2 linked regions of the Alligator mississippiensis genome follow. The protein of the gene in region 2 interacts with the protein of the main gene of each other region in a biochemical or structural test. Links are inferred from orthologs where the notes say so. Each region holds a gene or a part of one and is shown on either strand. Other genes may lie near its edges.

Region 1 (3,902 bases), on a different chromosome or scaffold from region 2:
AAAAGGAAGGAAATTCGGAATGAAAGCCCTAATCCTGTCATATACTCAAATAAATCTCCCACTAGATCCTACTCTTTATTTCCATTTAAAGCAAATGGAAAATTTGCCACTGTGCTAGCCCTTGGCCAAAACAGTAAGAATTTTGCCTGAGTAAGGAAAGCAGGATTAAGCCTTACATTTGGCTCTAAGAGGAAAGTAACTCTTCCCGGTATCTCTCAACTAACTACATAGTTATCACCTGAGGATGTATTTAGCTTCTTCTCTGCAACTTAACTAGTTATTACAGACATCTGACAAAAGCAGGACTGTACTGCTGATGTATCTAACTGATATGCTGAAATATGTAGATGGAAAAACCATGAGTTAACAACATGATAAGAGAGTCACTATAAGTCTTCAGTCTCCCATGACCCTTACAGGTGAACTGTTGATCACAAGTAAGAAGTGAGACAACGGAAGAAAGCCTTCCCCTTGAATTCTTGTTTCTGTCTGGCACTACTTAAAGAGATAGCAACCCCATATTTCTTTGATTTATACATATGGTAGCCATCTGGGCATATCTTCTCTTCGAAGGAGCAATCTTCTACAGAATACCTAAGCTGAACAGTAAGAAAACAAGTAAAAATACACCTGCACTGTTGAAAACCTAAAGTGCACTGAGTGGATTGTCTTTGTCATGGCAGGGCCCCATATAGATTTGGGATTTTTTTTACCTATATTCTCTTTGAAAGTAGAAAATGTAAAGAAAACTGCAAAGGGAGAAAATGCAATTGGGAACCAAAACTGGAGCACTTCCCCTGATTTTTTTTATTTGTCGTTCTGGAAAGTTGTTTTATTATTATTATTATTACTACTACTACTACTATTATTATTTGGCAGCAAAATTAAATGTTCACTAGCAGCCTCTAGGGACGCCCCTTGTGACAAAAGTAAACATTGTTGTCTTTCCTGACTAGTGCAGGGGTCTGGACCAGATGATCTTGCAAGGTCCCGTTGAGCCCCTTACAGTCTATAAGTCTATGAATCTCAAGAGTTTTGTCTGCCTTCTGTGGGGGTCCCTGATACACCTTCAGCTAATCCTCCAGGCCAGTTTAGGTTAGAGGGGGTTTAAGCCTTAGGCTAGGGACACACATTCCACATGACCCGGTTTAAGTGCTCAGTCACTGGTTTACAGATGTTTAGTGCACATCAACCAGTTTGAAAATGGCTGAAACCAGTTGGAGCTAAACCTGGTTGACTGTAGTATCAGACTTAACTGATGTGGGTCAACCTGGTTTATGCAATGTCTGTCCCAGACCTTCACGACACGTGAAAGCTTGCGGTAGGGAATGCAGGCGAGCTCCTTGTGCTGTTTTGTTTTCTGGAGAGCATCCCAGCGTGACCCGCCTCAACCCCTCCAGGCTCATTTCCTTGCTCCTGCCTTGCCCACGCCAGACCCCTAACGGCGTGAGAAGGAAGATGCGGTCGGCTGGAGCGGTTTTGTCTGGCCGGGGCCGGAGGACACGATAACAAGCCCTTGCGAGCGCATGCAACCCCCCCGCCCGGCCCCGCCAGCTATTGACTTTCCCAGGCTGGTTCAGTGCGCGCCCGCAACTTACAAGCCCATGCAGCTTCCCTTCCTCCTCCATGCAGAGGTACCGCGAGCTGTGCACGCCCTTGATCGCCACCGTGCGAACTGCCACGGCCCTGATCTCCAGCAAACCTGCGGAGCACAACGAGAGAGAAAAGCCAGGTTACAGCAGGAGCGGGGAGGTAGCTAGATCGCCGCCGGCCCGCCGCCCTCCGCCTCCCCGGGCCTCCTCCCGCGGGCAGGGCTCAGGTGCGGCTCCCTTCCTTTGTACTCACTTTGAGGACTCTGGCTGGTGGTGCCGTCCACTTTGCCATCATTGCTGATCCTCAGGAAGTAACTGAACAGTCCGTGCTTGCTGGCAGTGTAGAGGTGCCTCAATCTGATGGGCTCCCCCCAGCCATAGTTCACGTGTGGCCCTGCGTCGGAGAAAGGCAGGGAATCGGCCACCATTGCACAACAGAGTCCGAGCAGAGCCAGGGACGTCGGCGCTTTGCACAGGGGCTGCCACATCTTTTATTTTTCCACCGCCCCAGGTAATATAAATGGCAAGCTGCCTCCTCCCAGCTCTCTTTCTCTCCCGCACACGAGCAGAGGCGCCAATGCTGCTACGAGAGAAGGCAGCGGCTTGGTGCTTTTGGAGCTAATTGCTTCAGGGATGTAGTAAACGCAAAGCCAATCCCCCTGCCTTTTATAGGTCCCTGTTATCAGCCCAATCGATAGGGCTAAATCCAATTCCAATATAGCGACTATTTCATAGCAGGACTTGGCCGGATCAGTCACTCCCCGCTAAAATATTGATCGGATGACATCATTTCACAGGAGACACCCTGAGCGCCCGCCCTGGAAAAGCTTTATCCTGCAATCTTGCTCGTATTTGAAATCAGCCCTCTTCCAGCCTGAGCAAGATCACGTGCGGCTCATCCTCATGCAAACCTCCGCCACGCCACCCGGGAGGCACCGGGCGCCTGGGCACTGGCGGAGTTTGAAACGGCCTCTGCCCACGCCGTGCCCGTCCGGGGGTGGCAGAGGCGGTTGTGTGTATGCCTCAACATCCAGCAGCCCGGCAGGAAAGCAGCCCCCCGGATCTCTGCCTGCTGGGGAAAAGAAGGCAGGAGTCATCGAGAAAGGAAGGAAGAAAGAAATCAATCTCAACGTCCCAGTTATGCAGCATGACACAACTTCCTTGTCCAAGTCAATCAGCTGGTGGCCAGGGATCCAATGCCCCCTCCACACTTTAAAGAAGAATGGGCACATCATCTTGAAAGAAATCCACATTAACCACAAATGAACTATGAAGTTACCAACAAAAAAAAAAACCCCAACAACCCCAAAAAGAAAAACCCTCCCCTTAGTCAGGCTCTAAACCTGCAGAAGCCCTTCCCCTGCAACATACACCGTTGCCCAGACACTGATTCAGAATCCTCTTTCTTGACATCTTGTATATTAGGTATATCTTGTATATTAGGCATCTTATATATTAGGTTCTCTCCTGTGCTTCCTTGGCTAACAGCACTAGGAAAGAGACTGAAGAGGTGACCTAAGGAGCTCAGAAGGGTTAGGACCCGTCTTTTCACTATGATTTACCCTCGTCAACAGAGGTTAGTTCAGGACAGCCACAGATGAGATAGTGGGCGAAACTCCTGTAATATGGGAGGAATAAGAACCCCCCCCCCCACATGTCCTCAAAGCAAGGGTCATCTCTACAGCTTCTCAGTAGCCCAGCCAGGATAAGCCACTCTTACCAGCTCATCTTCTCTCCCTGACCATGAGGGAGAGGCTGCAGATCAGGAAAATACTCTGATTGCAATCATTTTAATATGAAGCCATTCATTAATGCAGTCATAACTGGGTGCCTCAGCATTGGATTCCAAGGAAATCAAATCATACATTCACACACTGTAATGCTATTCCCCCTGGAGGGGAATATACCATCAAAGAGGTGGAAGCATTGTCTATCCACTTGCTTCCTTTGCAAATAGGGTTTGCTTGTAGAGTGTCTGAGATATAACAGCAGAAATCAGATCGCATCCCATGAGGCGTGCAAGTGTTACAGTAACTCATGTCACACTCCCTGCCAATCCAGAAAAGACAGAGGTGAGCTTTCTTCAGAGCACCTAGTAATGTTGTGGTTAGTTCTGCAGACCCTCAGGCTGTAGCTCCTATTTTGCTTTCTTCTGAATTAGGAAGATGTAATTCCTAATTCCAAGATTTAGTGCGGGCCAGGAGGACAGCTCTTGATCAACTCAGCATTCAGAAGGAGGTAGCACTCGGTTGTAAACATACAGATCATTTGCGCTGGGTTTTCTTACCTCTAAGTCATTTCTCATTTGGC
Region 2 (3,902 bases):
GGAGCCTGCTCATGCTCACTACAAGGTGCCAGCCTGAGCATGAGGCCACCCGGCCCCCTCTCCCCTGCGTGGGGCTGCAGGTGCAGTAGGGGGTAGGTCAGCACTGGGCTCTGCCTGCTGCACCTAGCCCGCACATGGGCACAGACAAACCTGGGCATCCCCTGAAGCAGGCTGACCCCTGGGGCCTTGCGGCCCAGGCCTAGCAGGGGCATCCCCAGGGGAAAGCAGCCTTGCCTGCAGCACCCGGCCTCTCACCCACAATATGGGCTGCTGGCCCGGGAAGGAGGCAGGGACTGTGCCACCCGGGGCCTGGCAGAGGGCTGTAGGCTGGTCCCTAGGAGCGGGGGCAGCGGCTGCCGCCAGGTGGCAGCCCCGGGGCAGCAGCAGGGCCAGGCCGTTGCCTGGGGGAGGAAGGAAGGGCAGGGCAGGCTGCCGGCCCTGCTAGGGAGCGGTGCCAGCCGAGCCCGCTGCCGGGGCCAGCACCGCTGCATGAGGCTGCCACTCGGAGCCTGCAGCTGGCCTAGGCAGCGGCAATGCAGCCCCTGGCCCGGGCAGCTGCCCTCCCGGCCTACGGGCACCCGCAGTGAAGGGGTCTCCTCCTGCCTGGGCAGGAGGGGGCTTCATGGCCCCGGCTGCCCCTCTGCAGACAGCAAGCGGCTGTGGGTCGGGGCGGAGGGCCTGCAGAGCCCCCAGGTCGGGGCCGTGGGGCACTGGGGTCTGGCCCGCCCGAGCCGAGCCGAGTCGTGCCAGCCCCTGCGGCATTGCAGTCTGCAGTGAGCCGCCGGGCCCCGCCAGCCCTCCACAGCCAGGATGGGGCCGTGCCCGCTGCCCCAGACCTGCCCGGGCTGTGCCCGTGGACTCTGGCTGCTCCGCGGGGAGGGTCCCCCGGCCGCAGCCCGGGGCCCGCTGTCTACCGGGGGCAGAGGCAGGGCCAGGCCCGGGTGCCCCCACGGCAGCGGCCGCCCGCGCCCCCAGCCCCGGCTGCGGGGTCAAAGCTTAACTGGCCCCGCCGCCCGCTCCCCTCTGCCGGCCGGGGCGGGGGCAGGGTGACCTGCCCGGGCCCTGCGGGGGAAGCGGGCTCGGGTCGGGCTGGCCCGGAGCAGCGAGAGCCCGGCCGGGGAGGGACGAGTGAAGTTGGTTGCCTAGTCCCCGCTCCTTATTCCCGGCTGCTTTGGCAGCGCTAATCTAGACCCGATAAAAGCCTGGTGTTAATGAATTACAGCGAGAGCGCGCGTCGCTCGCCGTGCAGACGCACTACTTCGTATGTAAAGTAATAGCCCGCGGGAATGAGCGTCCGACTTCAGCCTCGCGGGGGGAGGGAGGCGCGGGCCGGACTTTGCCCGGGCTCGGGGCGGCCCCGCAGCCCTTCGTCACCCGGTTAAACATTAACCCTTCCCTGCCGGCAGCTGCCCGCCGGAGCCCCCGCGGGGCGGGACGGGGCGGGCCGTGCGGCCGGGGCGGGCCGGGGCGGGGACCGGCTGCCTCTGGCCGCGCGGTGCGGGGCGGTGCGGTGCGGGGCGCGGGCGCGGGACGATGCAGCCCGGCGTGTGCGCCCTGCTGGGGCTCCTGGCCGCGCTGGCAGCCGGGGCTCGGGCGGCCGGGGCCGGGCCCGAGGACCCGCCCGCGGAGCCAGGTGGGCGCGGGGCGCGTGTGCGGGGCGCGGACGGGCGCCTGGGCTCCGCGCTCCCTCCGAGCGCGGCAGCCCGCGGGGCGCACGGGCGGCGGGTGGCGCGGTCCGCGCGGCCGGTGCCTGGGAGACCTGGCTGCTGCCAGGGCGGCCCCGCGAAGACAGCCTGGGTCGGGGGGCACCGGAGGAGCCCTCTCTGCCCTGCCCTGCCCTGCCCTGCCCGGGGAGGCTGCGGGCTGCCGGTGCCCCCGCCACTCCCCCGGCCGGACCGAGGGGCTCGAGGGGGCGGGAAGGTGGCGGGATCGGGCCGGGCGGGAGGGGCCGCTGGCGGAGCCACGGGCACAGGCTCCGGGCACGGGCCCAGCCGCGCCGGGGCGCGAGGCAGAGCGCAGGGGAGAGGCTCTGGGGCAGGCGAAGCTGCTGCGGGCACCGGGCTGGCTGCCCCGCGCTGGGCAGCGTGGCCCGGGCCCCGGGGCGTCCGGCTCCGGCTCCGGCTGGAGGCCGGCGGCGAGGACCAGGGGGCTGCGTGGGCCGGGCGCCGGGCAGGGGGTCCGCAGCGCCATCCCTCCTGCCCCTGCTCCACGGTGCCCACTGCTGGCAAGGGCTGGGAAACTGCCCGTGCCGGGCGGCAGCATGACACCCTGCGGCACTTCGTTCCAGACTCCCTGGCGTCAGGCGATGACGATGAGGATGGGGACGGGGATATCTCCCAGGGGGATTCGCGCGAGGAGCTCCTGCACTTCCGCAGAGGTCAGTGCTGTGGCCAGGCTGCCCCAGGCCCTGTGGAGCAGGGAGTCCCCATTGCCTGCAGCCTGGCAGCACCACACGGTCCCCCAGGCCCTTTGCACTCCACTGTGGCTGCCCTGAGCCGGCCGGCTGGATCAGGCCCTGGCCTGGGAGAGCTGAGCATGCACTGTGCCCCTCCCTGCAAGCTGTGCCTGCACCTGCCCTGCGTTGCAGCCCCAAGCACCCGTGTGCCTTGGCAGAGCCCACTGCGAGCTGGCCGCCCCCGCCCACACACACCCTGTTCCCGTGCTCCATAGCTGTCCCGGCCCCATGGCTAATGGGCACGGCCACCCATGTCATCCTCAGCGCCCTACTGGACGCACCCCCACCGCATGGACAAGAAGCTGTACGCGGTGCCCGCGGGCAACACCGTCAAGTTTCGCTGCCCGGCATCAGGGAGCCCCAGCCCCAGCATCCACTGGCTGAAGAATGGGCATGAGTTTCGGGGAGAGCATCGCATCGGCGGCATCCGGGTGAGGGAGCGGGGCTGCCCCCTGCCTTCTCCAGGGGCCTGTGGCAGAGGTCCTCTGGTAGCGACCCCCCTGCCGGGCCAGGCACCAGCCAGGAGCTGGGTGCCCTGCAGAGAGCTCTGCCCAGGTGCCAGCTGCCCCTCACCGTGCTCTGTCCCGTCCTCTCCCCCAGCTGCGGCACCAGCACTGGAGCCTGGTCATGGAGAGCGTGGTGCCCTCCGACCGCGGCAACTACACCTGCCTGGTGGAGAACAAGTTTGGCAGGATCCGCTACAGCTACCTGCTGGACGTGCTGGGTGAGCCCGCTGGCCGGCAGCACGGGGGGCTGATCCTGGGGTCCTCCCCCAGCAGGAAGCCTGCAAGGAAGGGGCCTCTCAGCTGGCGCAGACCCCCAGGGAAGGCTCTGCTCCTACGTGGGCTGCCTGAGTTGGGCCCCTCCCGTGCAGCTCCTGGCGCTGCATCAGGGCCTTGCTGTTGCCCTTGGGAGCTGGGAGATAAGAGGTCATTGATCCCTCTGCAAACTTCAAAGGGCCTCTGGGAGCGTCGGGGTTGTAAAGTCCAAAGCAAGGAGCCAGCATACCAGCACCCCCCCCCCCCCCACTGCTCCTTATCAGGGCCGGGCCGGCGGGCGGGGATGGACCGGGCAGGCAGGGGGGGCCCGAGGATCCACAGCCCCGTGGGGAGGGACAGATGGGTGGGCTGACTGGGGGCCTCTGGTTCTGTGGGGCAGAGGTTTCCCAGGCCATGGTGCCCCCGGTCCATGGGCGAGGTGCCAGAGGAGGGCAGGGCCCAGCCGGGTGCAGCCCCGTTGGCTGACGCACCCCACTTCCGGCAGAGCGGTCCCCGCACAGGCCCATCCTGCAGGCCGGGCTGCCGGCCAACACCACGGCCCAGGCAGGCAGCGACGTGGAGTTCTTCTGCAAGGTGTACAGCGACGCCCAGCCCCACATCCAGTGGCTCAAGCACATCAAGCTGAACGGCAGCAGCTACGGCCCCGACGGCATCCCCTACGTCCAAGT

The links.
Region 1: the proteins of FGFR4 (region 2) and FGF19 form a complex in vitro, tested with the Homo sapiens proteins (2 studies listed by BioGRID and IntAct). The link is inferred for Alligator mississippiensis from reciprocal best matches to the Homo sapiens genes FGFR4 and FGF19.

The regions. Positions count from the first base shown.
Region 1 is NC_081825.1:215,291,069-215,294,970, forward strand, and holds the start of FGF19 (fibroblast growth factor 19), read right to left. Parts: upstream 2,428-3,902; 5' UTR 2,081-2,427; coding exon 1,846-2,080; intron 1,703-1,845; coding exon 1,599-1,702; intron 1-1,598. UniProt on the Homo sapiens protein: Involved in the suppression of bile acid biosynthesis through down-regulation of CYP7A1 expression, following positive regulation of the JNK and ERK1/2 cascades. Stimulates glucose uptake in adipocytes. Activity requires the presence of KLB and FGFR4.
Region 2 is NC_081832.1:79,316,698-79,320,599, forward strand, and holds the start of FGFR4 (fibroblast growth factor receptor 4), read left to right. Parts: upstream 1-1,491; 5' UTR 1,492-1,533; coding exon 1,534-1,633; intron 1,634-2,287; coding exon 2,288-2,377; intron 2,378-2,719; coding exon 2,720-2,886; intron 2,887-3,055; coding exon 3,056-3,179; intron 3,180-3,718; coding exon 3,719-3,902. UniProt on the Homo sapiens protein: Tyrosine-protein kinase that acts as a cell-surface receptor for fibroblast growth factors and plays a role in the regulation of cell proliferation, differentiation and migration, and in regulation of lipid metabolism, bile acid biosynthesis, glucose uptake, vitamin D metabolism and phosphate homeostasis.